Callithrix jacchus: one gene and its partners. The protein of the gene in region 1 interacts with the protein of each later gene in a pairwise test. Links are inferred from orthologs where the notes say so. Each region holds a gene or a part of one and is shown in the gene's direction. Other genes may lie near its edges.

Region 1 (9,367 bases):
TTTTTGACTAAATAAATGAAAGAAATAAATAAAAAATGTGGGCCAGGTGCCGTGGCTCACACCTGTAATCCCAGCACTTTGGGAGGCCAAGGCAGGCAGATCATCTAAGGTCAGGAGTTTGAGACCAACCTGGCTACCATAGTGAAATCCCATTTTTACTAAAAATACAAAAGATTGTCCAGGCATGGTAGTGCATGCCTGTAATCCCAGCTACTCAGGAGGCTGAGGCAAGAGAATCGCTTGAACCCGGGAGGTGGAACTTGCAGTGAGCCAAGATTGTGCCACTGCACCCCAGCTTGGGCAACAAGAGCAAAACTCTGTCTCAAAAAAAAAATTGTTTTTGAAGAAATTTAAAATATAGAATTGAATTGTTTTCTTTCAGTTCTGTAAATATTTTTTTAATGCAATGTTAGATTATAGAAAGGGCAGTGAATTAGAACTCAGGAGACTTTTTTTATTAAATTCTGATGCAATTCATTTTATGTTTGAGCTTAGGTTTCCTCATTTGAAAATGGAGAGATTGGACATCAGCTCTCTAAGTTAAAAGTAGTCCTTTCTGTCAAGTAGCATTCCCATACTTTTCATTACTTAAAGATGCTTTTAGAGTAGATGTGAACTTTTAAGCTGCTTCCTGCTAGGAGAATTCTCAAGGATGAAGACAGCCTGAAGATTTTGTTAAACTTCTATGAACTACCTGAGAGTCCACACATCCCACACACAGAGCCTGAGGAGACTATGAACCCACTGAAATTGAGTGTAAAATACTGTGTGGTACATGTGAATGTGCATGCCCCCATCAGTTTTTTCACATAGGGGGTTCTGAGCTGTTATTGGATTCCTTCAAATGCTATAATCCTCACAGGTTGATTTGCAGAGAAGCTGGGTCTATGTGATCTGAGCCCTGAGGATTTCACATACACCGAGATCCCAAAGGCAGAGACTGGGGTCTTATCTCCACTGCGTCATTTTTTTCTGTGATTTTAGCCCAGTGTTTTCTAATTTCCAATACCAGTAATCCCTACAGAACCTCAGTGGAGATGCAGTGCTTCATAGTTTTCTCCTGTTTTCTTGTTCTGCTACTACAACCCTACCTATCAAGTGTTTCTGCTAATGAAAGCATTTTTCTTCCTTTCCCCCTTTCTCCTTCTTGATGACTGGTTGCCCTGGGGACTCTGGCAGTTGGCCGTGTTTACATCAGGTAAGGTGCATCTCATTTTACTTTGTCTTTCATCAGCTGTGGTTGCACAAGACAGCTCTCATCTCAGGAGACTGCTGTCAGAAGCTGCAATCTGCCCTGCTTATAGACTCATTTGCTTACTTACCCCTCTTCTTTACATACCTGCCCACTGACAGGTGCTTGATGAAGTCGGGATGGTCCTACCTCTGCCATAGATGGCCTTTATGGGTCTCAGTTACTCATTTATAAATTGGGGTGGATTGATCGTATGTTAGGTCCTTTTTATTTTTGAGATTCTGCTTCTACTAAAACAGTACCTCCTATTATATCACAGTCTCCGAGCCCTTAAAGGTTTTGAAAATATTAGGAAGGGTAAAACTTTTTTGGTATCAACAAAGAGCTTTTATGAGGAGGGAAAAGTCTGTTTCCCTGCTTTAGCACCTGCTTGGTGAGACAGAGCTGGGCCTGGCATTCACAAGTGGCTGTGAATAATCACAGTCAGCTGAATGTCTCCAAGGTTGTAGAGTACCACACTTGTTGGTGGCCTGGGAATATAGGGGAAGATAGAAGTTCCAGACTGCTAAAGCCTCAGAATCTGGATGGGAGAAAGAAGGTGGGGACAGGGCTGGACATTCTGTCCCCAGCAGGACCTGGTAGAACATATTGACTGTGAGTTTTTGAAGAACACATAACACATAAGTTTTGGAGCTGTGAACAGTAAAAGTAGAAAATGAAATCATTCAATGCTGCTGTCTCCTCAGCCCTGAAGTCCTAGATTCTTGTTTATAGAATGTCGATAAAAACACATGTTTTGGCCAGACATGGTGTCTCACGCCTGTAATCCTAGCACTTAGAGAGGCCAAGGCAGGTGGGTCACTTGAGGCAGGGAGTTTGAGAACAGCCTAGCCAACATGGCAAAACCCCATCTCTACAAAAAATGCAGAAATTAGCCAGGCGTATTGGTGCTCTCTTGTAATCCCAGCTACTTAGGAGGCTGAGGCACAAGAATTGCTTGAACTTGTGAGGCAGAGGTTGCAGTGAGCCAAGATTGTGCCACTGGACTCCAACCTGGGCGACAGAGCAAGACTTTGTCTCAAAAGAAAACAAAAAAAAAAAAAAAGAAAGAAAAGAAAACACATTTTTATCACCTTAAATTTTTTTTTTTTTTTTAGATGGAGTCTTACTCTTGCCGAGGCTGGAGTGCAATGGCGAGATCTTGGCTCACTGGAATCTCTGCCTCCCAGGTTCAAGTGATTCTTCTGCCTCAGTTTACCGAGTAGCTGGGATTACAGGCACATGCCACCATGCCCGGCTAATTTTTTTTTTTTGGATTTTTAGTAGAGACGGAGTTTCACCATGTTGTCCAGGCTGGTCTTGAATTCCTGACTTCAGGTAATCCACCTACCTCAGTCTCCAGAGTGCTGAGATTATAGGCGTGAGCCACCACACCTGGCTGAAACAAAAATTTTTAAACAGTGAAAGGACCTGAGAAACTCAAAACAGGATTTTTTTATATTGAAAGAAATAGTTGAATGCAAAAAAATCAATGAAAGTACATAAAAAGCATTAAGCAAATTTAGATAATGAGCAAATCCTATCCTTTAGCACATGGTAGTCACCAGAAAATGATAAGCTTATCTCCTGATTCTGATGCCTGGGCTACACAGTTGTTGGGGAAATGCTATAAAAATGAGAAATCGGCCAGGTGCAGTGGCTCACACCTCTAATCTCAGCACTTTGGGAGGCCGAGGCAGGTGGATCATAAGGTCAGGAGTTCGAAAACAGCCTGGGCAACATGGTGAAACCCCATCTCTACTAAAAATAAAAAAATTATCCAGGCACAGTGGTGAACACCTGTAATCCCAGCTACTCAGGAGGCTGAGGCAGGAGAATTGCTTGAACCTGGGAGGTGGAGGTTGCAGTGAGCTTAGATGGTGCCACTGCACTCCTGCCTGGGTGACAGAGCAAGAATCCTTCTGGGGGGGGAAAAAAATTATAGAAAGAAAAATGTTACTGACAGGAAAATACAGTTGTTACTACTGGGAAGATAGGGATTTAAAGTTTGTTGTACTCATACCAGCAGCCTAAATTGAGGCTGAGTATGTCAGACTTGACAGCCCCAGGCTTGCGGTTTCCTTCCCTCTGTGTTGCTAGGAACCCCTAGAGAGAAATAAAGCATGAAGAAGCCTGTTTAATTTATGATTTTTTTTTTTTTAAAGACAGAATCTTGCTCTCTCTCCCAGGCTGGAGTGCAGTGGCGTAATCTCAGCTCACTGCACCCTCCACCTCCTGGCTTCAAGTGATTCTCTTGCCTCAGCCTCCTGAGTAGCTGGAACTCCAGGCATGCACTGCCATGCTCAACTAATTTTTGTATTTTTGGTAGAGATGGGGTTTCACCATGTTGGCCAGGCTGTTCTTGAACTCCTGACCTCAGGTGATCCACCCGCCTCGGCCTCCCAAAGTACTGGGATTACAAGTGTGAGCCACAGTGCCTGGCCAATTATGATGATATTTAAAGGCAGTTTTGATTTTACCACTGGTAAGTATTTATTGATTGCTAGGAGAAGGAATGGTAGTCAGGTTTCTTGAGGTGTTTGTGCTCATGCTGGTGTTTCCCAGTTTGAGGCCTCTGGCCTGTGTTGTTCTCATGGCTCTAGCTGATCACTCTGGTGGGTCTTGGGCCATTCATGCATTTTTCTTTCCTGCTTGCAGTGGTTGGAAACCAGACCTAACAGACAGGTGTGTCCAGTTTGCAAAGCTGGTATCAGCCGAGACAAGGTCATCCCCCTCTATGGAAGGGGCAGCACTGGGCAACAGGACCCCAGGTGAGGACTTAGGATGCCGCTCCTACCCACTTCTCTTGGACATGAATTCACTCCGATTCAACATCTCCTAACCCCACCCTTTACTTATTACTAGATGATCCCTTGGTTTTGAAGCAGTCTCATCCAGGTGAGAGTCAGCCAGGAGGGGAGGAAGGAGAGGGGATCCAAGTTACCACTTGCTGGGACCCAGCAGTGAACAGACATCACAATCACAAGTGTGCAGAGCATTGTGAAACAGTACTTCCGCCTCCTGGGAAGCAGGATGTGTGCAGGAGAGGCTCCAGGGAGTACGTTTGCCGCAGCAGTGATGTATACAAGCATGGGGGTAGAGGAAACAGGATCTGGGTGACTTTGTGGAGTTTGGGATTTATAGAAATGGAGTAGGATCCAGCATTCCACAAACAAAAGTACTGAGAGTCCTTCACGGTCTGGCATTCCCAAGCTCTCCAGAAGAATCTCTTACCTTCTCCCACCTAGCCTAGCATATGCTGTGTACCGGACATATTAGACTTCACTTAAAGGGATTTGCTCTTTCACATTTATCAGCCTATGTATTTGCTCTCTCTTCTGCCTTCTGCCCTCCCCAGTCCTGCTCAAGCTACCCTTGTACCCCCACCTTCTCCTCTAACTTCTACTCATCTCTCATAAGCAGCCCTATAGTCCCCTCCTTGAAGTGGTCTGTCTTCTCCACATTAGTTGCTCTCACCCAGTTCCCAGCAAACTGTCGTGTGATTGGTTCTATCCCCCTGAAACCATGAATACCTCAAGAGTTGGGTCTGTCATCAGTCTTAGTATTATAGCATCCTGCATAATGCTTATTGTATAACTAAGCCCTCAATTGAGTATTCATGGGTTGAGTGATCTGAGTGGCTGAGACTTGAAAATAATAGCATGGGGTATTTGCCCAAGAATAGTGGGAGATAGAGCTGAAGTTAATAGGCAAGGTCAAAGAAACGACGAACCTCAGCCCTCACTGCTGACAACCCACCCTCTACTCCAGTTTGGATTTGGGATTTCTGATATCTGTGACAGGCCCAGTATCATACAGACCCAGGGAAGGCATCTGGCCATGTTCCTAACCATCTGAGTCAGGATCTCTGTGAATGGAGTAGGCTGTAGTGCAATCTGATGAATATCTCATAACAAGCTGATTTTCTCCCTTGTTCTCTATACAGATGGGAAGAACAGTTGCAGGTAGAACGAAGAGTTAGTATTTGGAGAATTAATTTGGCATATAAGTTCATGTCCTGGGCAAGAAAGAGGCTATGGCCCTGACTCTGTTGGTGAAGAGCTCCTGGTCCTCATAGGGAGAAACTGAAAGCATTTTGTAATAGACTTATTTTACACCATTTCTGTTTCAGAGAGAAGACCCCTCCCCGTCCTCAAGGACAGAGGCCAGAGCCGGAGAATAGAGGGGTGAGAAACATTCTAGAAGCTTCTACAAATGAGCTGATGGCTTTAGAAGTTGCCTTCTTAGCCTTATCATTTTTTTCTTTGATTATAAAAGTAAAAGAAATCTTATAAAATACAGAAAGGAAAAGAGGGGGAGAAAAAAATCACAATCACACCAATCAGAGGTAACCACTGGAAAGAAACACTTTGGTTCTATTTTCTTTTCCATTTTTCTATATTTATATATACACACAAATTTTATAAATCTGTGCGTGTATTTTACAGATATGTGTATACTTTTTACAGTTTTTGTTTTTTACACTATGTGGCTCCTGTTTTGTAACCCTCTCAAAATTTCATTTGTACTTCAGATATTTAAGTGCCTTCTGTGTGCGAGTGGGAGTCTTTTAGACTTATCTTGAGATTTTACATTGCCAGCAATATTTTACTAAATAGCTGTTTAGCATTTAGTTTTGTGGATTTAACATAATTCAATCCTTTGTTAGACATTTAGCGGCTTTCTTTTTCCAATTTTAGAAATATTTTGATGAATTTATAGATAAATTTATGAGCATATTCACTATTATTTTATTAGGATAAGACAGGGTCTCACTCTGTAGCCCAGGCTGGAGTGCAGTGGCACTATCACGGTTCACTGTAGCCTCAATCTCCTGAACTCAAGCAGTCCACCTCAGCCTCCCATGTAGCTGGGACCACAGGTGCACACCACCATGCAAAGCTAATTTTTTTTATTTTTATTTTTTGGTAGAAACAAGGTCTCACTATGTTGCCCAGGTTGGTCTTTAACTCCTGGACTCAAGCAGTCCTCCTACCTCAGCCTCCCAAAGTGTTAGGATTACAGGCGTGAGCCACTGTGCCTGGCTTAGGATAAATTCTTAGAAGTAAAATTACTGGCTAAAAAAAATGTGCATGTTTATCCCTGGTGGTCTAGTGGCTAGGAACAAAAACATTGAAAATTTTTTGCATATTTACATCAAATGTTACTCTTAAAACAAATTCTGTGGGCCGGGCGCGGTGGCTCAAGCCTGTAATCCCAGGACTTTGGGAGGCCGAGGCGGGTGGATCACAAGGTCAAGAGATCAAGACCATCCTGGTCAACAAGGTGAAACCCCGTCTCTACTAAACATACAAAAATTAGCTGGGCGTGGTGGTGCACACCTGTAGTCCCAGTTACTCGGGAGGCTGAGGCAGGAGAATTGCTTGAACGCAGGAGGCGGAGGTTGCGGTGAGCCGAGATTGCGCCATTGCACTCCAGCCTGGGTAACAAGAGCAAAACTCCATCTCAAAAAAAAAAAAAAAAAATTCTGTTAAAATGTTAAAGAAATTTTAAAAGCAAAATATTTACCCACATTGCCAAGAGCCTGGAACAAGTATATTCTCATTTCCTCATGTTCTCTTCATCTGTATGCTCTGTATATGTATTTTTATGTAGCCATCACCATTCTGTTTGCTTTAAAATTTAATTTTGGCAGGTTTTATGATGCTCTGAAGTATCCTCTTTATTATTTAGGCGCCATTTATCCCATTGAGGTTTTTATTTATTTATTTTTTTTTCTGTGCTCTTACTGGGAACCCATTGAGCTTTGATGCATTATAATTTGGGTTTTCCTCATCGAAGAACCTTTTAGTTGTTTCCCCATTTTGCTCTTTAAGTAATGCTACAGTAACCATCTTTATACACTCTTTAGTTTGAATAATGGCATTTCATTAGGATTCCCAGGAGTAGGATTACTGAGTCAGGGATATTGATAGAAATTAAGGTTCTTGGCTGGGCACTGTGACCCACACCTATAATCCCAGCACTTTGGGAAGCCAAGGTGGGTGAATCACCTAAGGTCAGGAGTTCCAGAGCAGCCCTGACCAATATGGTGAAACCCCGTTTCTACTAAAAATAGAAAAATTAGCCGGCTGTGGTTGTGCACACCTGTAGTCCCAGCTACTCTGGAGGCTGAGACAGGAGAATCATTTGAACCCGGGAGGTAGCGGTTTCAGTCAGCTGAAATTGCACCACTGCACTCCAGCCTGGGCTACAGAGTGAGACTCAATCTCAAAAAAAAAAGAGAGAAATTAAGTTCTCTTCTGCAGATTATCCTTAATAATAATATTAGCAGTGAACACTTGTTGAATGGCTACTATATGGAAATAACTATATGTTAAGAGCTTTATATTCTTGATCTCCTTTAAGCCTCACATCAACTCATTTAACGAAAGAGGAAACTGAGACCCAGATAGGTGAAGTGACCTGTCCAGGGCCACACATACAGTGCGGAAACCCAGATCTGGCTGGTATTGGAGTCCCCGCTTTTGACCACCAGGTGACACCACTTTAATATTCCCAGGTTTTGGTTTCCTCCAGAGCATTAGCAACTAATGCAGGAATCAGAGGCCCTTGAAAGCCAGAGGTCCTGGTCTGTATGACCGAGGAGCATACCTCTAGCATTTATAAGCACCTGCAGCTGCTAGTGATTTTTTTTTTTGGCATACTCTGCCCCAGGAACATAATCCTACCAAATGTGAGGACTGGTAAGCTCATATAGATTTTGGTAAAAGGGAAGCAGAATGATTAGTCCTCAGGAGTGCACTGAATGAATCTGGGGTTCCTGATGAAACAATTGCACCTTCCTGGGTAAGGCAGCCTCAGTCCCAGGAGCCCTTAGGTTCAACCATGAACTGAGTAGTAGGCATTTTGTATTGAGGAGATGGAAATTCATTGTTTTCCTTCCCTTTAGATTTGTCCTCTCATAAAGTCAGCTGTTAGGCTTTATAGATGGTACCATCTGCCAAGAAGTTTAGAACTAAAGGCTTCTCAGTGTGTGACAGAGAGCAGCTACTTTGTGACTTGCAAAAGATTCATAAATGAAGGCCAGTGAACTCTTTATGAAAAGCATTTGGCCCAATAATCTGTCTTCTTTTTATTCTTTTTAAAATCGTTTGTTCTAAACCTCTCACTAGGGATGCAGGGGAAGAGAATAAATATTTGAAAGATGTGCACAGTAATTAAGAGTATGAAGGCCAAGCACAGGGCTTAGGCCTCTAATCCTAGCACTTTGGGAGACCAAGGTGGGAGGATCATTGAGCCCAGGAGTTTGAGACCAGCCTGGGCAACAAAGTGAGACCCTGTCTGTACAGAAAAATTTAAAAATTAACCAGGCATAGAAGGGTGCACCTGTGATCCCAGCTACTTAAGAGGCTAACATGGGAGGATTGCTTGAGCCTGGGAGGTTGAGGCTACAGTGAGCCATGATTGCACCGTTGCACTCCAGCACTCCAATAAAAAAAAAAAAAGAAAAGAAAAGCATGTGTTTTCAGATCAAATTGACCTAGTTTTAGATCTAAACTGTACTCCTTGGTAAGTTATTTCACCTCTCCAAGCCTCAGTTTGGTCATCTGTGAAATGCAGGTGAAGCTAATGTAAAAATTAAACATGATTTGTGTGTGCCAGTGCTTAACATGGTGCCTAACACAGAGCTCATGCTTTAAAAAAAAGGAGTTATTTATTCACAATATTGTTGCTACTGAATTTTTTCATGTGAAAGATGATTCAGTGTAGAACATGCGCAGGGAAAAAAAACAGAGCGTGATACACCAAACTGCTGACAGTGGTTATTTCAGAGGTAAAGTGGAGTGGCTGTGAAGTGGGAGGGTGAATAGAAGATCTCTGACTTTCTTTGTCAATTATTTCGGTAATGTGTGAGTTTCTTATAGCAAGCATATATTACTTTTATAATCAGAAAACATTAAAGTGTTTTAAACGTAAAAATTCTGTGTAACAATATTAAAAGAAATTTTAATCCATAACTTATCCATATACCTGCATACTGTCGTGTACTTGTGACCACAGTGTCCAAACAATTTTGTCTGATAACTTGGTCACAAGACTTTTTCAGTGTTACTGCATCAGTCAGAATAATGGTTTTTTGAATGCATATATCAAGATTTTGATTATGACTTC
Region 2 (9,981 bases), on another chromosome or scaffold:
TACAGGTGCGCGCCACCATGCCCAGCTAATTTTTGTATTTTTAGTAGAGACGGGGTTTCACCTTGTTGACCACGATGGTCTCGATCCCTTGACCTCGTGATCCACCCGCCTCAGCCTCCCAAAGCGCTGGGATTACAGGCATGAGCCACCCACCGCGCCCAGCTTTCTTTCTTTTATCTTTGGGGACGAAGTCTGGTTCTGGCACTGAGGCTGGAGCACAGCAGCAAGATATCAGCTCACTACAACCTCTGCCTTCCAAGTTCAAGCAATTCACCTGCCTCTGCCTCCCCAGTGACTGGGATTACAGGCGTATGCCATCATGCCTGGCTAATTTTTTTTTTTTTTGTATTTTTAGTGGAGACAGGGTTTTGCCATGCTGGCCCGTCTGGTCTCGGACTCCTGACGTCAGGTGATCCGCCTGCCCAGGCCTCCCAAAGTGCTGGAATTACAGGCATGAGCCAGTGTGCCCAGCCCCTGCACTGTATTTCAATGGAAGGAAGTCTAACTTAATTTTCCCACAAATGGTTTCCAGATCAACTCTCACTCGGGGCAAACACCAGATCAGGCCTGTCTGCAAGGAACCACAAATTAGTGCAGGTGGGAAAGAGGTTTAACACTCACCTGGTAGAGAAAGGGGGTTCACGCGCCCTCTCGTGTTCACCACAAGCCAAAGACGCCCTGCTGTGCTCCGCAAGGGGACCAGTAATAATTATGTACCAGGTCAGCTTTGAAGTAACTAAGATGTCGATAAGTAAGTGGGTGAATAAACCAACTGGGGTCCATGCAGACAATGAAATATGCTCTGCGAAATAATATATTCCACTGGAAAAGCAAAGAACTAGCTGCTCAGGAGGCTGAGGTTGGAGGATCACTTGAGCCCAGGGGTTCAAGACCAGCCTGAGACCCCATCTCCATGGAAAAAAAATTTAGCTGAAAGTGGTGGCACCTGCCTGTAGTCCAAGCTACTCAGAAGGCTAAGGCAGGAGGATCACTACCATCCAGGAGTTTGAGGTGGCAGTGAACTATTATCTCACCACTGTACTCCAGCCTGGGCAACAGAGCAAAACCCTATCTTAAAAAAAAAAATTGAGTTGGGCATGATGGCTCACATCTGTAATCCCAGTGCTTTGGGAAGCAGAGGTGGGCAGATCACTTAAGGTCAGGAGTTCGAGACCAGCCTAGCCAACATGACAAAACCTTGTCTCTATTTTTTGTTTTTGTTTTTGAGATGGAGTTTCGCTCTTGTTGCCCAGGCTGGAGTGCAATGGCGCGATCTTGGCTCACCGCAACCTCCTGGGTTCAGGCAATTCTCCTGCCTCGGCCTCCTGAGTAGCTGAGATTATAGGCACGCGCCACCATGCCCAGCTAATTTTTTGTATTTTTAGTAGAGACGGGGTTTCACCATGTTGACCAGGATGGTCTCGATCTCTTGACCTCGTGATCCACCCGTCTTGGCCTCCCAAAGTGCTGGGATTACAGGGGTGAGCCACCGCGCCCGGCCGAAAGGATCTCTTGACGTCAGGAGTTTGAGACCAGCCTGGCCAACATGGAGAAACCCCATCTCCACTAAAAATACAAAATAAGCCGGGGATCACTGCACATGCCTGTAATCCCAGCTACCCAGGAGACTGAGGAAGAAGAATCGTTTGAACCTAGGAGGAAGATATAGCAGTGAGCTGAGATCGTGCCACTGCACTCCACACTGGGTGTCAGAATAAGACTCTGTCTCAACAACAATAACAACAAAAATGCAATTTTCCATAACCGAGCTAAGCATCAGCTGTGTACACTAACATTTCTTTTCATAGAATTGTGTTTCAAGGTTACTGAAGTACAACATAATCAGAATCTATGATTCCATTTAGGTTTCCAGGTCAGAAAATGCTTTATCCTTCCAAGGCACCTCCAGTCACTTACAATACTCATCTGTAAAACCAGGTTGTTTTTGCAGACAATTTCCCTGTAACATCCCAACAGTCACGACACTGTCAATTTCCTGGTTTATATTACTTATGTCAGATGTTACCACTGGGGGCAAGTTGGGCAAAGGATATACAATATGCCTTTACTATTTTTCCAATTTTGAGACTATACTTAAAAATTAAAAACTTCAAACAAAAAAGCAAAACAAAAATGTTACTTACTTTACTTTTTGAGGCAGGGTCTCACTCTGTTGCCCAGGCTGGAGTGCAGTGGCACAATCACGGCTCACTGCAGCGCTGACCTCCCAGGCTTAGGTGATCCTCCCACCTCAGCCTTCCGAATAGATGGGGCTACAGACATGGGCCACCACGCCTAGCTAATTTTTCTATGTATATATTTTTTCAATACTCATTCAATGCCTTTGGTACATATACGTATTTTTGTAGACACAGGGTTTCACCATGTTGCCCAGCCTGCTGTTGAACTCCTAGGTTCAAGTCATCTGCCTGCTTCACCCTTAGAAGTATTTTAGTTTCTGGCCGGGCGCAGTGGCTCACGCCTGTAATCCCAGCACTTTGGGAGGCCGAGGCGGGTGGATCACGAGGTCAAGAGATCGAGACCATCCTGGTCAAGGTGAAACCCCGTCTCTACTAAAAATACAAAAATTAGCTGGGCATGGTGGTGCGTGCCTGCAATCCCAGCTACTCAGGAGGCTGAGGCAGGAGAACTGCTTGAACCCAGAAGGCGGAGGTTGTGGTGAGCCGAGATGGTGCCATTGCACTCCAGTCTCGGTAACAACAGCGAAACTCCGTCTCAAAAAAAAAAAAGAAAAATACAATAGTTAGCTGGGAGTGTTGGCACACATCTGTAATTCCAGCTACTGGGGGGGGGGAGGTGAGGCAGGAGAATCGCTTGAACCCGGGAGACGGAGGTTGCAGAGAGCCAAGATTGTGCCTCTGCCCTCCAGCCTGGGAGACAGAGAGAGACCCTGTCTCAATAAATAAATAAATACGAGACAATAAATAATATAATAAAAACATTTCAACTCAACTTTTATTAAGTTAATTAATATTATTATTTTTTTGTAGCGTCGGAGTCTTGTTATGTTACTCGGGCTGCTCTCAAACACCTCTCAAACAAGCGATCCTCTTGCATCAGTTTGCAAAATGCTGGGATTACAGACATGCACCACCACACCAGGCCACAACCCAAAAATCTAAATGATTTTAGGAGTTTGTAAGTCACATGACCAATATGGTACCTCCCCGAGGAGGGGCTCTGAGGCCCAGTGAAAAAGGCTTATATAAAAGGCTCAGGACCAGCTCTGGCAGCGATGAACATGGGTCAAGTCATTCTGCTGTCCCAACTCCTAGACTAAGGTGGCTTTGAATCCGTTTCAGCTGATAAAGAACGACGACGGAGGGCACAAAGGCTCCCCAAACTTGAGCAAACCCAGTGAGAAAACACTTTCCACATCATCTGTCTCGGTCGTTCTGGAGTTGAGACTCATCACAACTGCACCACCCAGGCAAGCAGTTTGCCAGGACTCGAGGGCCTCAGGATTTCATCTCGGGGCCTCCGACTGTATCAGCGAACGCGCCTGGCTCAGGGCGAGCCTATCTTTCTTCTCCTTCTGCAAGACCTGCTCCTCCCACAGCGCCTGGTCCACCTGATCATCCGTGAGCACCACAGGCTTGTACTTCTCATGGAAGAGCCGCTCGTTGGTCTCGGAATGCAGCTGGTGGGTCCCGACCACCCGCAAATGCGCCGGCAGGTGCATAAATTCGTCGTCGTTGATGTCACAGTCGCGCATCCGGGCACCCAGCACCCACCAGCGGCCCACGAAACCCACGTCCAGGATCCGGCCGGGGAAGTCGATCCAGCGGGGCTGCAGGTAGCGACAGTGCGCCTGGTAGAGGCTGGCCTGGGCGTCGAAGGGCGCCTCGTACACCAGCGAACAGAGCCCCAGGTTCACGTGGCGCAGCCGGCCACAGCCCCGAAGCCAGAGCAGCCGCTGCACGAAGGTTTCGGACTCGCGGTTGCGCGTGGCCGGCGCCAGCAGCAGGAGGGTCCCCGACGCCTCCAGCAACGCCTCCTCGAAGGCACCCTCGCCCGGCGCCAGCGTGCAGCAGGCAGCCGCGCCGCCCAGCAGCCCCACGTACACGGCCGCGCGCCCCGGCCGGGCACGAGCCTCCGCCGCCGCGTCCCTGCAGGCCTCGGCGTAGTCCTGGAGCAGCGCGCGGGCCCAGGAGCCTGAGGGAAGAGGGGCGCGATAAGAGTGGTCCGGCGGCGGCGGACACCCACCCTACCGCCTTCCGCCGCTACTCACCCAGCCGCGCCCACACTCTGGGCTTCGCCGCTACAGCGTCGCCCACCTCTGCGCGGCGCCGGGACCAAAGTCTCCTCAGAGCTGCCGCGACCATCCTTTTCTGGTTTAGGGATCCCTGCTCGGGGAAGAAGCTCCTGACACCCGAGTTAAGAACCCGGCAGTCTCTTCTGCGCAAGCGCCAACTTCACCGGAAGTGGCTTCCCAACGTGCGAGCATAGAAAGAGGCCCGGCGCCGGATGTTGCTGTCGTGTCGGAGTCGGGTCAATCTGACTGGCAGGCAGGCCGCGCCGGCGCAGAGAGCCCCAGCCACGCCGACCCAGGTGGCTTCAGGTGAGGTGGGTGGAGCACAGCTTTGGAGACTGGGCGACGAGTTCAAGCCTCCGTGGGTGCTGTTGGCCGCCAGGTAGGGCTGGGGGCCGAGGGACCGGCTCGGGGGCACGAGGGAAGCGGACCTGATCGGCCTGTGTCCTCAGCGAGGGATGCGGAGACGCCCCTGAACAACCATGGCAGCGGCCGACGAGCTGACCTTTCACGGTGAGTGAGGCCCCGACATGGCGGGATGTCCTACTCCCGCCCCTCGCCAGTACCTCCCCGTCCATGCGGCTTCCAGCATCTCTACCCCGAATCCCGGGCGGCTGTGAACTGACTCAGGAGTGAGACCCATCCCTGACTCGAACCCCGCTCCCGCCGTGAACTCAGACCTCACAACCGAGCCTCTAGTCCCCAGACCCTGACCTCATCCCAGGGCCAATCCTAACTTGCAGTTCCACGTTAGAAGGAAGGGAACAGGGGTCCTCCGGATGCCTCCAAACTGAGGAAGTTAGGCCCCCGCCTTGGGGATGATCAGTGGCCCAGCAGAGCCTTCGCCCCCAGAGGAGCATCGACTTGGCTTGGGCCCAGTCGAATTCTTTCCACCCCACAGAAGTGCGTGTGTCCCATATCTCCCCTCCACAGAATTCGAGGAGGCCACTAATCTTCTGACTGAGACCCCAGATGCAGCCACCACCAGTAGAAGCGATCAGCCAACCTCACAGGGGCACGTGGCTGTGGCTGTGGGCTCAGGTGACAGCTATGGAGCCGAGGATGAGGTGGAGGAGGAGAGTGACAAGGCTGCGGTGAGTCCTTGTCCTGCTTCCTGCTTCTGTGCAGCCCACTGCTGACCCAGGCTGTTGGGGCAGGCACTGAATGTCCGCGCTGTGTGTAGCTCCTGCAGAAGCAGCAGCAGCAGCCCGGATTCTGGACCTTCAACTACTATCAGAGTTTCTTTGACGTGGACACCTCACAGGTAGGGTCCGGGGAGGCAGGTGGGATGGGGCTCAGGGTGCTGGTGAAGGAACCAGGGTGCCCTGGAAGGGTTATGGTGGGACTGGTTATGGATCGGGACTGTGGGAACACAGGGTACACACACAATCTGGTGGGTTAGAGGAAGGCCTCCTGGAGAAGGTGAGGAATTGGCTGAGACCTAAAGGAGAAGGAAGGCAGAGTGGAGGGGAGCAGAAGTATGTTCCAGGCACAGGGAACAGCATATGCAGAAGACCAAAGGTGGGCCAGGCGCAGTGGCTCACGCCTGTAATCCCACTAGGACTTTGGGAGGCTGAGGTGGGATCACCTGAGCTCAGGAGTTTAAGACCAGCCTGGCCTACATGGTGAAACCCCATCTCTACTAAAAAGACAAAAATTAGCCAGGTGAGGTGACAGGCACCTGTAATCCTAGCACTTTGGGATGCTGAGGTGGGCGGATCACTTGAGGTCAGGAGCTTGTGACCAGCTTGGTCAACATGGCAAACCCCATCTCTACTAAAAATACAAAAATTAGCCAGGCATGGTGGTGCACTCCTATAGTCCCAGCTGCTTGGGAGGCTGAGGCATGAGAATTGCTTGAACCGGGAGGCAGAGGTGGTAGTGAGCCAAGATTGTGCCACTACGCTCCAGCCTGGAAAAGTGTGAGATTCCATCTCAAAAAGTAAAAGAGGGAAGGGCTAAGCTCTTTCAGGTGGGGCATGGAGAGAAGAGGGTGGAGGTCAGCAGGGAAGGAGCCTCTCAGGACGAGAATCTCCTGGCAGGCCTCCATCCTTGACCTCGGCCTTGCCCCCAGGTCCTGGACCGGATCAAAGGTTCGCTGTTGCCCCGGCCTGGCCACAACTTTGTGCGGCACTATCTGCGGAATCGGCCGGATCTATATGGTGAGTGAGGTCATGCATTCGGTTCCTTTCATTGATCACTCCACAAGTGTGGCCCGAGTTGCAGACCCCAGTGTGCAGCTGAGGACAAATGAGTCACTTAGAGAGTGTGACTTACCTTCTGTTCAGGGAGACGGGGAAATGAAGGACTGCAGAGGGTGGTGGGTAGAGCAGCAGAGTGGAGAGAAGGAATGGCCTTGCTGTTTTGCAGGGTGCGTCAGGGCAGGCCTGCCTGAGGAGGGTGAGGGAATGAGCCTTGCTGGCAATGGGATGGGTGGGAGACCTAGGAAAAGATGGTTCTAGAAAGGGCATGAGCTCCATGGCGGGAACTTGCATGAACTGCAGGACGGCATTGCCACTGGAGCAAGTGAGCTGTAGGAAAGGGATGGATCACACAGGCCTCCCGTGCTGTGGCAAGAAGGGATTTTTTTTTTTTTTTTGAGATAGAGTCTTGTTCTGTCACCCAGGCTGGAGTGCAGTGATGTGTGATCTCGGCTCACTGCAATCTCTGCCCATCGGGTTCAAGCAGTTCTCCTGCCTCAGCCTCCTGAGTAGCTGGGATTACAGGCACACGCCACCGCATGAGGCCAGTTTTTGTATTTTTAGTAGAGACAGAGTTGCACCATGTTGGCCAGGCTGCTCTCAAACTCCTGACCTCAGGTGATCTGCCCACCTCAGCCTCCCTAAGTGCTGGGATTACAGGCATGAGCCAGTGCACCTGGCTGAGATGGAATCTTAGTTACGTGTTCTCTGGTCCCTCTCACCATCCTGGGGGGCGAGGGCAGAAGCCAGGAGGCCGGGGTGCAGGCGGCCACATGGTGGAGACTGTGGATGTAGAGAGTGGTGCTGGATTCTGGAACATGCTGTGGAAGTAGAAGCAACTGGCTTTGCCGCTAGACAGGTGGGGGTGTGGGGAGTGGGAGGGTAAGAGCTGAGGCAGGCTCTAGGGATGTCTGCCTGGACTACGGAATGGATGGAGTTGCTACTTATCCAGGGACCAGCTGGGCAGTGAGGGCAGAGGGAAAGGGTAGTGGGTGAAGCCAGAGATGCCCACCTAGGAGCTTGAACTGGAGGCTGCAGTTCTCAGGGCACAGCCTCAGGCTCTAGGGGAGGCACAAGGCCCTAGGCTTGGAGGAGGTCACACCAGGAGTGAACACAGACATGGAAGGGGCCAAGGACTGGGCCCAGATGCTTCCCATGGCTGAAGGGGTCAGAGAGTCAAAGAGGAGGTAACAGTGATTGAGGAACTGGCACCAACGAGGTGAGATACAGGCCGATGGTGTGCAGTCCTCAGTGTTTCCGGGAGAGGACGGGCTGAGAGCTGGCACTGGGCTTAGCCACCGGGAAGCCCCTGGTGTCCTGGTGAGTCAGGCAGGGTGCTTAGGAAGAGGCTGGGGTCTCATCATACTTGAGTCAGGATACATCTATCTGGTGGTCCTGGGAGCACAGGATCTGGGACCCTGACTGCCCCCTACCCCCAGGCCCCTTCTGGATCTGTGCCACGCTGGCCTTCGTCCTAGCTGTCACCGGCAACCTGACACTGGTGCTGGCCCAGAGGAGGGACCCCTCCATCCACTACAGCCCCCAATTCCACAAGGGTAAGCAGGTGGGCAGGCCCAATGCCTGGCAGGGCCCCGGGGGACAGGGGGTGACTGCTCGCCTTGCCCCCAGTGACCGTGGCAGGTATCAGCATCTACTGCTACGCGTGGCTGGTGCCGCTGGCCCTGTGGGGCTTCCTGCGGTGGCGCAAGGGTGTCCGGGAGCGCCTGGGGCCCTACACCTTCCTGGAGACCGTGTGTGTCTACGGCTACTCCCTCTTTGTCTTCATCCCCATGGTGGTGAGTGTGACCCGGTGTGCAGTGGGTGGTGGCTGTGTGGGGCCCCCTGGCATGGTCACCTGCTGCCTGTGTCACTCCCAGGTCCTGTGGCTCATCCCTGTGCCTTGGCTGCAGTGGCTCTTTGGGGCACTGGCTCTGGGCCTGTCGGCTGCAGGGCTGGTATTCACCCTGTGGCCTGTGGTCCGTGAGGACACCAGGCTAGTGGCTGCAGTGCTGCTGTCTACGGTTGTGCTGCTCCACGCCCTCTTGGCCATGGGCTGTAAGGTATGGGTCTGGGGTGGCCACGGGTGGGCTGAGGGGCTGGGGCAGGTCGGCTGGCCCTGCCTCTGACCCCAGGGATCTTGTGCAGTTGTACTTCTTCCAGTCGCTGCCTCCAGAGCATGTGACTCCTCCACACCAAGCCGCATCTCTGCCCACAAACATCCCACTGTCCCCTACCCTGCCTCGGTCCATGGCTCCCTCCTAGGAAGGCCCAGGTCCCACAGGTAAGGGACTGTTCCCAGCTGGGCTGAGGGGGCTGCCTTTCCACCCCCAATGAAGGCAAGAGGTCCTGGGGCCATTCTCAGGCAGTTCTCTCTTTTAGGCAGTACCTAAGTGGACCAACCCCTCTGCCCCCCAGACAGTGACTGAACGCTCCCGACACCTTGAGATGACTCTGCTACTTTCCAGACTTTTCTTACAAAGCAAACACTTTTATTTTCTATGCAAAGGTGATTCAGAGAATTTATATAAAGGTGGGCGAAGGGCAGCTGAGCAGGGAGCTTTGGGACAGGGCCAGGGCCCCAATATCCCCTGGGGCTGCCTGCTTTCCCCTCTACGGCTCCCCTGGCACAGGAGGGAGAGCCTGGACAGTGCCCGCTCTGCCTGGGCGCACACACGGCGGGCCCGAGCTCCAGCATCTGAACTTGGGGGTGTGAGAAACGGGAGCAGAAGAAGAAACTGCCTGTGCTGCAACACATTTCCTCGTTTATTTTTTCTTTCTTTCTTTTTTGGAGGGAGAGGTCCCTGCAAGGCCCCTTCCCAGGCAGGGGAGGGACGGAAATGCTGACACAGTAGTAGGGACTGGAGCGTCTACAAAGACGGAGGGTATGATACTCAGGCCTAATGGTAGCTACAAGGAAAGAGGACACCTTCCATGACACATCCTTGAGGTGTCTTTGTCTGCCCCAAGCAGCTGGCGGTGGCCTTCCCTCCAGGCCCAGGGCCTGCAGCCACCTGCTCTAACTCTGGGTGGGGGAGATCTGCAGGGGCTCAGGGACAGGACAGCAGCAAGAGGCAGGGGCCGAGGACGGAGGCCTTCCCAACAGCGGGGTGGGTTGTACATTCAAGTGTGAGGTGAACCCTTTGGTGGGGAGGGGGCCCCTGAAGCCTCAGCGGGGCCACCCCTCCCCGCGGTGCCTCTGAGTCTGGGGAGAGGGGCTGCTGGCTCGGCCCGGCCGGCCTGGCTTCTCAGAGGGTCTGTGGATTGACACTGGTTCTTTTCATAAAAAAATAAAATTAAAAAAAGCAGCATGTCACGTCCGTTGTGACCGAGGCCTGGTCATCGAAGGGAGGCCCTGGCTGGCCAGGCCACTTTCCCACTGGAGTCAGACAAGGGGACAGGTGCCGAGGGACCTGGCAGGCAGGGTGGGGCAGCCTGGGCTGGGTGGCAGCTGCTCCCTCCCCGCAGCCAGTTCCAGTAGATGACAAGCCCAGGTCGGGATGGAGCGGG
Region 3 (10,139 bases), on another chromosome or scaffold:
GGAGATCGAGACCATTCTGGCTAACACGGTGAAACCCCATCTCTACTAAAAATACAAAAAATTAGCCAGGTGTGGTGACATGAGCCTGTAATCCCAGCTACTTCAGAGGCTGAGGCAGGAGAATTGCTTGAACCCAGGAGGCGGAGGTTGCAGTGAGTGACAGAACGAGACTCTGTCTCAAAAAATAAAATAGGGCCGGGTGCGGTGGCTCAAGCCTATAATCCCAGCACTTTGGGAGGCCGAGGAGGGTGGATCACGAGGTCAAGAGATCGAGACCATCCTGATCAACATGGTGAAACCCCGTCTCTACTAAAAATACAAAGAAATTAGCTGGGCATGGTGGCGTGTGACTGTAATCCCGGCTACTCTGGTGGCTGAGGCAGGAGAATTGCCTGAACCCAGGAGGCGGAGGTTGCAGTGAGCCGAGATTGCGCCATTGCACTCCAGCCTGGGTAACAAGAGCGAAACTCCGTCTCAAAAATAAAATAAATAAATAAAATAAAATAAATTAAAAAGCAAGCAAACCAACCACAGTTTAAGCACGGTAGATTGAATGCCTGTAACTGTCTCAGTGATCCCTCAGATGTCTGTATACTATAGTTTGAGGTTAATTCTCTCCATCCCTGCTAAAATGTAAATTCTTCAATTGCAGATATTTTAACCTCTTGTTCATTGATATGCCTCCAGGGCCTAGCACATAGTAGGCATTCAATAAATATTTATTTAATTATTTAGTTAATGAAGTTAATCAGAATTAGATCATAATAGTGAAGAGCTTATGTTCTGCATTACTAGAAACACATTTTTTAAAATTTATTTTTAGGTGGGTGAAATATACAACAGGAGATATGATGAAAATTCTCCTACTTTGCTTCCCCCAAATTACTTAAGTTTCTTTCTTTTCTTCTTCTTCTTTTTTTTTTTTGATGAAGCTTTGCTCCTGTTGCTCAGGCTGGAGTGCAATGGCATGATCTCAGCTCACCGCAACCTCCGCTTCCTGGGTCCAAGCGATTCTCCTGCCGCAGACTCCTGAGGAGCTAGGATTACAGGCATGCACCACCACTCCCAGCTAATTTTTTTGTTTTTTTGAGACAAAGTCTGGCTCTTGTCACCTACGCTGGAGTGCAATGGTGCGATCTTGGCTCACTGCAACCTCCGCCTCCCAGGTTCAAGCAATTCTCTTGCCTCAGCCTCCTGAGTAGCTGGGATTACAGGTGCCTGCCACCACGACTGGCTAATTTTTGTATTTTTAATAGAGACAGGGTTTCACCATGCTGGCCAGGTTGGTCTTGAACTCCTGACTTCAGATGATATGCCTGCTTTGGCCTCCCTAAGTGCTGGGATTACAGGTGTGAGCCACCACGCCTGGCGCTGATTTTGTATTTTTAGTAGAGATGTGGTTTCTCCATATTGGTCAGGCTGGTCTTGAACTCCTGACTTCAGGTGATCCGCCCCGCCTTGACCACTCAAAGTGTTGGGATTACAGGCATGAACGACCGTGCCTGGTTGTTAAATTCCATACTGAGAGGTAACCACTGTTATCAGTTTCTTCTACATTTTTCCAGTGATATTTTATGGTTCACAAGCATCATATATACAAGCATATTCCTTTCTCTCCTCACAAATATATGCTGTGTCATACCCTTTAATAAATAAACTTTTTCTTTTGGAATTATTTTATTTTATTTATCATTTTAGAGGCAGGGTCTCACTCTGACACCAGGTTAGAATGCAGTGATACAATCATAGCTCACACAGCCTGAAACTCCTGTGCTCAAGCCAGCCTCACTTCAGCCTCCCAAGCAGCTAGGACTACAGGAATGTGCCACCACCCCTGGCTAGTTTTTTAATATTTCTTTGTAGAGCTATTTGTTTTTCTTTCTTTTTCTTTTCTTTTTTTTTTTTTTTTGAGACAGAGTCTCACTCTATCACCCAGGCTGGAGTGCAGTGGCATGATCTCGGCTCATTGCAACCTCTGCCTCCTGGGTTCAAATGATTCTCCTCCCTCAGCCTCCCCAGTAGCTGGGATTCCAGGCATGCACCATCATGTCCAGTTAATTATTTGGATTTTTAGTAGACACGGGATTTCACCATGCTGGCTAGGCTGGTCTCAAACTCCTGACTTCATCATCCACCTACCTTGGCCTCCCAAAGTGCTGGGATTACAGGCGTGAGCCACAGCCCTGGCCTGGAAACTTCTACCTGGTCCCCCTTTGAGTATTCCAAGTTTCTTTACATTCCAAGATTAGGATTGAATAGTGATAATGTAAAGTGCTCAAAAAGTTTTTGCACTCTTCAAAATAGTTTTTTTTTTAAGTCTACTGGCACAAATACATATAGCATTGGGTGATTTACATTAAGCCAATAATTACTTGTACCATGACCTATGTATATGGTTGAGTCCTCTTAGGACCACTAGGGGGCTCTGTTAGAAGGGTTTATATAATTTATGTCAGTCCACTTAGGGGGAATGTTTTGAGATATTTTATAGAGTTCTGAACTCTTAAAACTTGGAAGAGATAATCCAATCCAGTTTTCTCATTTCGCAGATGAGGAAATCAAAGCTGGCAAGAGAGCTGGCATGGGAGTAAACTGGAATTTAAAATTCTCCTCTTGGTACCTGGGGCAGGAGTTTAAGAAATTCTCTTTTGCCTTATGCCGCCACTGATTCACCTCCATTGGCTATTTCCGTATTTGGTGCCACAATTATAATTACTTTTGCTAAGACCATGTGTTTGTGATATTTTTAAAATAAGATATTTTATTGGTTGGCTAGGTGAAGGCAGTACATGAAGTATAAACTTCTAAAATAACATCTTTATTACTCATTCTAAAATGTTCTATTCAAAGTGTTTCTCAGTACCATATCATTATTACTATGAGCCTTAGAAACCACTCTAAAAAAAAAAAATTATTATTATCTTTAGAGATGGAACTTCACCATGGGGCCCAGGCTGGTGTCCAACTCCTGGGCTCAAGCGATCTGCCACCATCGGCCGCCCAAAGTGCTGGGATTACAGCACTGAGCCACCGTGCCCGACCAGAAACCACTTTCAAACTGACTTTCCACTTAAAGTATTTTGCACTTTTTGTTCTGTTTTGTTTGAGACAGATCTGTCGCCCAGGCTGGAGTGCAGTGGCCCGATATCGCTCACTGCAACCTCTGTCCCCGGGGTTCAAGCGATTCTCCTGCCTCAGCCTCCAGAGTAGCTGGGATTGCAGGCGCCCGCCACCATGTCTGGCTGATTTTTGTATTTTTAGTAGAGACGGGGTTTTACCATGTTGGCCAGTCTTGGTCTCGAACTCCTGACCTCAAGCGATCCGCCGTGGCAGCCAAAACATTTTACTCTTACGTGTACTCATTTATTCATTCAATATTTATTGAGTGCCTACTAGCACCAGGCACCTTTGTAGGCCTAGGTTTACAGAAGTAAAGCTCCCCTCCCCCACCCCCAGTGCCCTGAAAAGCACTATAATTGTTTCTATTTCTCCAATTTTCACTTTTATATGAATTTTCACATGCTTTAGTTCAGACATGGGCACAAGAATGAGTGAGAGAGAGAGTGTGTCTTGGGGCCATCCTACACTCTAGGGATGGGCACAGGAGTGAGTGTGTATAGGAGTGGGAGTATGTGCTCGCGCGCGCGAGTGTGTGTGTGTGTGTGTGTGTGTATCAAGCTCTGTATTATCTAAATAGGTCAAAGATCAACATCTGGCTTCTAGATCCATCATCAGGCCTCTCCACGTAATACCTGTCTCAAACCGGATCTGATTCAACAATAACCAGCCTTAATTCAATAATCTGTGCTACCTGAGATGGTGGGAATAATCTTGGTACTATAAATGTTGCAGAACAAAAACGACTGCAGCGGATTTTCTGGGGCTACACCAACTGAAAATGGGCCGGATCGAGTTCCGGGAGAGCGTTTTCCTGCACTAGACGTTTTCCCGCACCCGGCGTTCAGCCACCGGGTTCCGGGTCTAGCTGAGTCAGGAAGGCGCTCCAGCCGATTGCGGCCTCGGGAACCGTTCGGTTGCACCCGAACCTTCGGTCAGAGTCCAGGGGTTGGCAGCCCGGACCACAGCACCCGGGTTTAAACAGAAGTGGAGGCGCCGGGGAGGACCGGCGGTCCCGGCCAGTTTGGAAGGCGCACCCTCCCGGCTCCAGACGCCGGCAGGGCGGAGTCAAGCGGCCGCAGCCCCAGTCGAGACGCGCGCTCGTGGCTCGGGCGAATGGGGGCTACAACGGGAGCGGCTGCGCCGCCCGGCCGGGTCAGCATCATGCGCATGCGCGGACCCGGCGCCATTTTGGTGGCCGGGCGCGGAGGTGATTCCACACTGAGGAGAGCGCGGTGGCCGGGGTGGTAGTGGCAGTGTTCGTGTGCTCGGGTCTGAATCGCTGAGGGAGGAGGCGGTGGAGGAAGAGGTGGCGGCGGTGGCGGTGGTCGTAGCGGTGGCGGAGGAGGCGGGTACGAATCAGCTGCGGGCGGAGACATGGCCAACATCGCGGTGCAGCGAATCAAGCGGGAGTTCAAGGAGGTGCTGAAGAGCGAGGAGGTCAGAAATGAACTCCCGGACATCCCCCACCTCTGCCCGGGCGGGAGGGTCCTCCCAGCGTGACCCCGATATCCCCGGTAGTCCCTGGGTGGCCCTCCTTGCGGCCGCCCTTCTGCCTGTGGGGAAGCAGTAGTGCTCCCCTCCTCCTTCCGCCGCCTTCCCCTCCCCTCCCACAGCGCTAGGATGGACGGTCTCGGCGGGCGGGGGGTCTGGGGTGGAACACAGTTTGGGGAACTGATGGACAGGGGGGAACTCCTCGGCGGGATGGAAGCTCACGAGAGAACCCGAGGCGGTGGCCACAGCTGGAAGTGTGGCTCTGGGGTGGGGAGGGAGCAGGCCGAGCCCGAGAAAACCCGGGAAGTGGGTTGGGGGAAGGGGAAAGGTGGTAACTGTATCCGGAGGAGCCGGTGCTGCTCTAAGGCCCACACTTTTGAGGATATTCTGGGTTATTGCCTGTCAGGCCGTCACCGTCCTTTTCTTAGGGAAGGAGCGGTGAGTCCTTAGGTATCGATTAAAAAGGAAGGACATTCAGAGTTAGTCCTTCTTAGTTGGGTGTTAGGAGTCAAGGGGAGAATAATAGAATACTGTCTTATTCGGTGGCAGGGATAAGGGAATTTTCACCTCTGTTAGCAAGTTAATTCCAAATGAGATCGTTATGTCTTTTCCACTTTACCCCCAAATTCCTAGGCCTCGTCTTTATCGACATCTCAGTCTTTGAGTGGGCAAAGGCAAGGTGTTTGGTGTATTAAAGACATTTAAATATTTTTAGTTAGAAAAAAAATGGAATGTAAGAGTAGCTTATTTCAAAATATTGTTTACAAGTTACAGATCAGAGAGACTGTCCTAATACAGTACCTCTGTGACTAGTGTTGTGCCACGAAACTTCATTATGATGTCCCTCATAGTTAACTTGATTCTTACTTTTGAAAAGTAGACCTATTAAAAACGTGTGCTTTTACCAGATTAATACACTGTTTTATCTCTTTATTGAGTAGATTTATCACGATATAGCAGATTTTCAAAAAAATTGCCTCCCGTTGCTCTTAAATCCTGCAGAATTTAGATATATTAGTACGTTTAAGTAAGATATTCACAATGCTCTAGTAATTTGACTCAGAATTACATAAGTATTAGTACAGTTTTTCATACCAAAAATCAACAAGAATACCAGATTGCCTTCCCCACAAGGATTAAACAAAAAGTAATACAGAAAATGGTTATTTTCAAGATTCACGTACCATTATTGAATATATCGTTGCTTTTGTGTTTTTTCTTTTACGGTTAGTACTTCGATAATGTCGATAGTGATTAGTGAAATTCAGCATTCTAAGTATGTGATGAGTAGACATGAAGAAAAAATTGTTTAAAATTCAAAAATGACAAATAGGCTTCTTGAAAGTAGTAGTATGTAAGTCATGATCAGTTTTACAGAGCATGTGTATGAACTCTGACCTCTGTTCATATGCCAAAACTCTGAATGGAAGGATGACTTTGTATTTTGTGGTACAGTGCAGAAACAGAGTCATAAGTGTTTGTATTGATAACAGTGAAACAGCAATTTTAACTTAATATGAAAATGTATTCCAGGATATTTGACATATATACTTCTAATGGAAGATAGCAGCTAATATTGTTGCCAACAACCTAAAACATTTCTTGTTTAATAAGGTTGTAGAAGCTTGAAACTTAATAGACTTTTAATGCTTTATTTTCTATTACTGAAAAGTGGTAAGTTACTACTCTAGTAATTTATATGGTCTCTGCTTTTTATGAGCTGACTTCACCGTGGTATTCTTAGTACTTAACTTGAAGATTACCAGAAATACTTGTATTGCTCTCTAGTAATGCATATTGTTAAAATAACACTGCTCATTATACATAAGGGATGATGGTTTACTTCAAATAAGTATCATAAGCGTTTCAGAAGAAGAAAATAGGGACGACAAACTTTTTTTTTTTTTGAGAACAGTACCTATAGAAATATGGAAAGAAACTTCTTCTAGGAAAATAAGTTGCAAAGAACATTTAGGAAAAGTTCACATCACTTAATCTTGGAATAAATATAACCAATAAATAGCTTATTTTCACCATTATTTTTTGACATTTTAGTGTCCCAGATCTATAAGTAGATTGTTATTTTCAACTCATTGAAGGACTTGTAGTACAGTCCATGTGTTTCCTTTTTAAGGGTGTAAATCCAGTCTTTTGAATGGCTGATCAAATAACTATTTCATCATGTCACTTTTTTGGTAAATCTGCACTTTACCAAAGTTTATTTCATATGCTTGTGTGCTTGTGTTTAGTAAGAACACTGGTTGATTTAAGGACTTTTTGGGGTGGCCTTTTAAGTGTCTTTGTAGAGATAGCTGACGCTTGTTGGATTGTGGTGGCCATTCTTAGAGTGTGTTAATTAAAATACAGCCAACAAGATAAATGTGAAAAGCAAGATACAGAATAGTGTGGGAGAGGCCACCATTTGTTTCAAATGGAGGGGAATATGTGTATTTGCCTGTGCAGGTAAAAGGTTTCATGAGAAATTGGAAAAATTGACTGCTTTCTGTGTAGGGGAATTGGGTCTCTGGGGCATGGGGAGTAGATATTTTTTGAATTATGTGTCATATGAACGTGATTTACTCAAAAAAGGCACCATTTGGCCTCTTTCCCTTAAGACAGTGTTTGGAAATTTGTCAGATGTTTCTTTTTAATTTATTAATATTTATTTTCTTTGTTTTAGATGTTTATTTTTAAATATGAGTATGAATTTTAAGTCGTTTTAAATAATATTCCAAAGTTGTTAGGCATGGAATATTGATATAAAGTACATTTTATAATTATTTTATGAGTTGGATTACATAAGTAAATTGTTGATTATGAGGATATAAAACCCTCTGAAGAGGCACATCTAAAAAAAAGGATAATTATTCATAGGTTGTATTTTTTACTATTAATGCTGCTATTAGTAACTAGCTGCCATTTGTAGAATGGCTGGTTGTTCTTAGTATCATTTGTTTATACATTATTGCTAATTCTCAAGAACAGTTCTTTAGATTTCCTATTTCCTAGGTGAGAATATAGAGATTCAGGCAAGCTAAATTATTTGTCTGCAAACATGGAACTTGGGATTTGGATCTAGGTCTGCTTGTGTTCATATTATACCATGCTGTCATGACTTTCCAAGGATAGGCATGCTTTTATTTATTTAAAAAAAATCGAGCTTGGTTTGTATTACTGGTTAAAGGATTTAAACACAGTTCAATCTCATTGAAATAGTGTTCCCTATAATTTAAGATTTAGTTGAATTTCTGAGGCCGGGCGCAGTGGCTCATGCCTGTAATCTAAGCACTTTGGAGGCCAAGGTGGGCAGATCAACTGAGGTTGGGAGTTTAAGATCAGCCTGACCAACATGGTGAAACCTCATCTTTAAAATATATATATATGAGAAAAAAACCCAAGATTTAATTGAATTTCTTTCTTTCTTTTTTTTTTTTCTTTCTTTTTTTTGAGAAGGAATCTCACTCTCTCGCTCAGGCTGGAGTGCAATGGCGGGATCTCAGCTGACTGCAACCTCTGCCTCTCAGGTTCCAGTGATTTTTCTGCCTCAGCCTCCCCAGGAGCTGGGATTACAGGTGCCCACCACCATGCCCAGCTAATTTTTGCATTTTGGGTAGAGATGGGGTTACACCATGTTGGGCAGGCTGGTCTCAAATTCTAACCTTAAGTGATCTGCCCGCCTCAGCCTCCCAAAGTGCTAGGATTATAGGCATGAGCTACCACATCCAGCCAGATTTACTTGAATTTCAACATGTAAAATATTTTAAAATTTGAAACTAATGAAATAAAACACCCTTAAATCAGTGCATTTACTCTTGCTTGGTCTTATGCTGTAGGGCACTTGTTGGTTTTTCAGGTTGTAATTGCACTTTGGTATTATTTTCTAGTATTCTCATAGAGCATGTTTAAATCTGTTGCATAAACAAATTGGTTTCATGAAAATTACTGTAGAACATTAAGTTTTCTGTCATCATTTAAATAGATTTATATAATATTTTCCTTTAAAAAAATTGTTTTTTTGAGACAGGGTTGCTCTGTCACCAGGTTCTAGGCTGAAGTGCAGTGGCATGATCTTGGCTCACTATAACTTCCGCCTCCTGGGTTCAAGCAGTTCTCCTGCTTCAGCCTCCTGAGTAGCTGGGACTACAGGCACACGCCACTATGCCCAGCTAATTTTTGTATTTTTAGTAGAGACGAGGTTTTACCATGTTGGCCAGGATGGTCTCGATTTCTTGACCTCATGATCTGCTCACCTTGGCATCCCAAAGTGCTGGGATTACAGGCGTGAGCCACCGCGCCTGGCCTTCCTTTAAAATTGTAATATATTTGATGTCGCTTGATCTAGATTATTCTATACCAGAAGTAGTTGCAAATCTCTAAAAGTAAGTCTTTGATTTCTGTAGACCATGGGTTTCTTAAACTTGGCAGTATTGACATTTTGGGCAGATAGTTCTTTGTTGAGTGACTCTCCTGTGCATTGTGAGGTTTTTTTTTTTTGAGACGGAGTTTCGCTCTTGTTACCCAGGCTGGAGTGCAATGGCATGATCTCGGCTCACCGCAACCTCTGCCTCCTGGGTTCAGGCAATTCTCCTGCCTCAGCCTCCTGAGTAGCTGGGATTACAGGCACACACCACCATGCCCAGCTAATTTTTTGTATTTTTAGAAGAGATGGGGTTTCACCATGTTGACCAGGATGGTCTCGATCTCTTGACCTCGTGATCCACCTGCCTCGGCCTCCCAAAGTGCTGGGATTACAGGCTTGAGCCACCGCGCCCAGCCTGCATTGTGAGATGTTTAACAACATCCCTGACCTCTACTAGTATATGCCGTTAGCACCATATATTCCCTATCCCACCTCCCCAGTATCTCTTCTTGGTGGATGCATCAACTAAAAATATCTTCAGACTGCTATGTGCTGAGAACCAAGTAGACAAAACTCTTTTTTTTGAGACAGTCTCTTGCTCAGTCACCCAGGCTAGAGTGCAGTGGCATGATGTCAGCCCACTGCATCCTCCACCTCCTGAGCTCAAGCCATTCTCCTACCTCAGCCTCCGAGTAGCTGGGATTACAGGCGCCCACCACCGTTCCTGGGTAATTTTTGTGTCTTTAGTAGAGATGGGGTTTCATCATGTTGGCCAGGCTGGTCTGACAAAACTCTTTAAAAAGAGTATTTATGGGCCAGGTGTGGTGGCTTATGCCTGTGTTCCAGCATTTTAGGAGGCTGAGGCTAGATTGAAGCCAGGAGTTCAAGACCAGCCTGGGCAACATAGGGAGACTTTGTTACTACTAAAATTTAAAAAAAATCAACCAGGCATGGTAGTGTGTGCCTGTAGTTCCAGCTACTCGGGAGGTCAAGGCTGCAGTGAATTGTGATTATGTGACCACACTCCAGCCTGGGCGACAGCAAGATCCTGTCTCAAAAATGAAAAAAGAAGATGATTCCTGGTGGAGGTTGCAGTGAGCTGAGATTGTGCCACTGCACTCCAGCCCAGTGACAGAGTGAAACTTCATCTCAAAAGAAAAAAAAAAGA

Evidence for each region.
Region 2: the proteins of RNF185 (region 1) and YIPF2 interact in binary tests that used the Homo sapiens proteins (3 or more experiments, as listed by UniProt). The two-hybrid records come from large-scale screens. The link is inferred for Callithrix jacchus from reciprocal best matches to the Homo sapiens genes RNF185 and YIPF2.
Region 3: the proteins of RNF185 (region 1) and UBE2K interact in binary tests that used the Homo sapiens proteins (3 or more experiments, as listed by UniProt). The link is inferred for Callithrix jacchus from reciprocal best matches to the Homo sapiens genes RNF185 and UBE2K.

Annotation. Positions count from the first base shown.
Region 1 is NC_133502.1:201,700,987-201,710,353, forward strand, and holds part of RNF185 (E3 ubiquitin-protein ligase RNF185), read left to right. Parts: intron 1-1,179; coding exon 1,180-1,198; intron 1,199-3,889; coding exon 3,890-4,002; intron 4,003-5,363; coding exon 5,364-5,418; intron 5,419-9,367. UniProt on the Homo sapiens protein: E3 ubiquitin-protein ligase that regulates selective mitochondrial autophagy by mediating 'Lys-63'-linked polyubiquitination of BNIP1.
Region 2 is NC_133523.1:10,091,435-10,101,415, reverse strand, and holds YIPF2 (protein YIPF2), read left to right. Parts: upstream 1-4,496; 5' UTR 4,497-4,755; coding exon 4,756-4,786; intron 4,787-5,206; coding exon 5,207-5,367; intron 5,368-5,456; coding exon 5,457-5,537; intron 5,538-6,347; coding exon 6,348-6,435; intron 6,436-7,913; coding exon 7,914-8,030; intron 8,031-8,103; coding exon 8,104-8,270; intron 8,271-8,351; coding exon 8,352-8,534; intron 8,535-8,619; coding exon 8,620-8,736; 3' UTR 8,737-8,755; intron 8,756-8,836; 3' UTR 8,837-9,779; downstream 9,780-9,981. Other genes in the region: TIMM29 (mitochondrial import inner membrane translocase subunit Tim29), read right to left, coding at 3,488-4,176, 4,253-4,346.
Region 3 is NC_133504.1:154,115,650-154,125,788, reverse strand, and holds the start of UBE2K (ubiquitin-conjugating enzyme E2 K), read left to right. Parts: upstream 1-4,305; 5' UTR 4,306-4,494; coding exon 4,495-4,557; intron 4,558-10,139. UniProt on the Homo sapiens protein: Accepts ubiquitin from the E1 complex and catalyzes its covalent attachment to other proteins. In vitro, in the presence or in the absence of BRCA1-BARD1 E3 ubiquitin-protein ligase complex, catalyzes the synthesis of 'Lys-48'-linked polyubiquitin chains.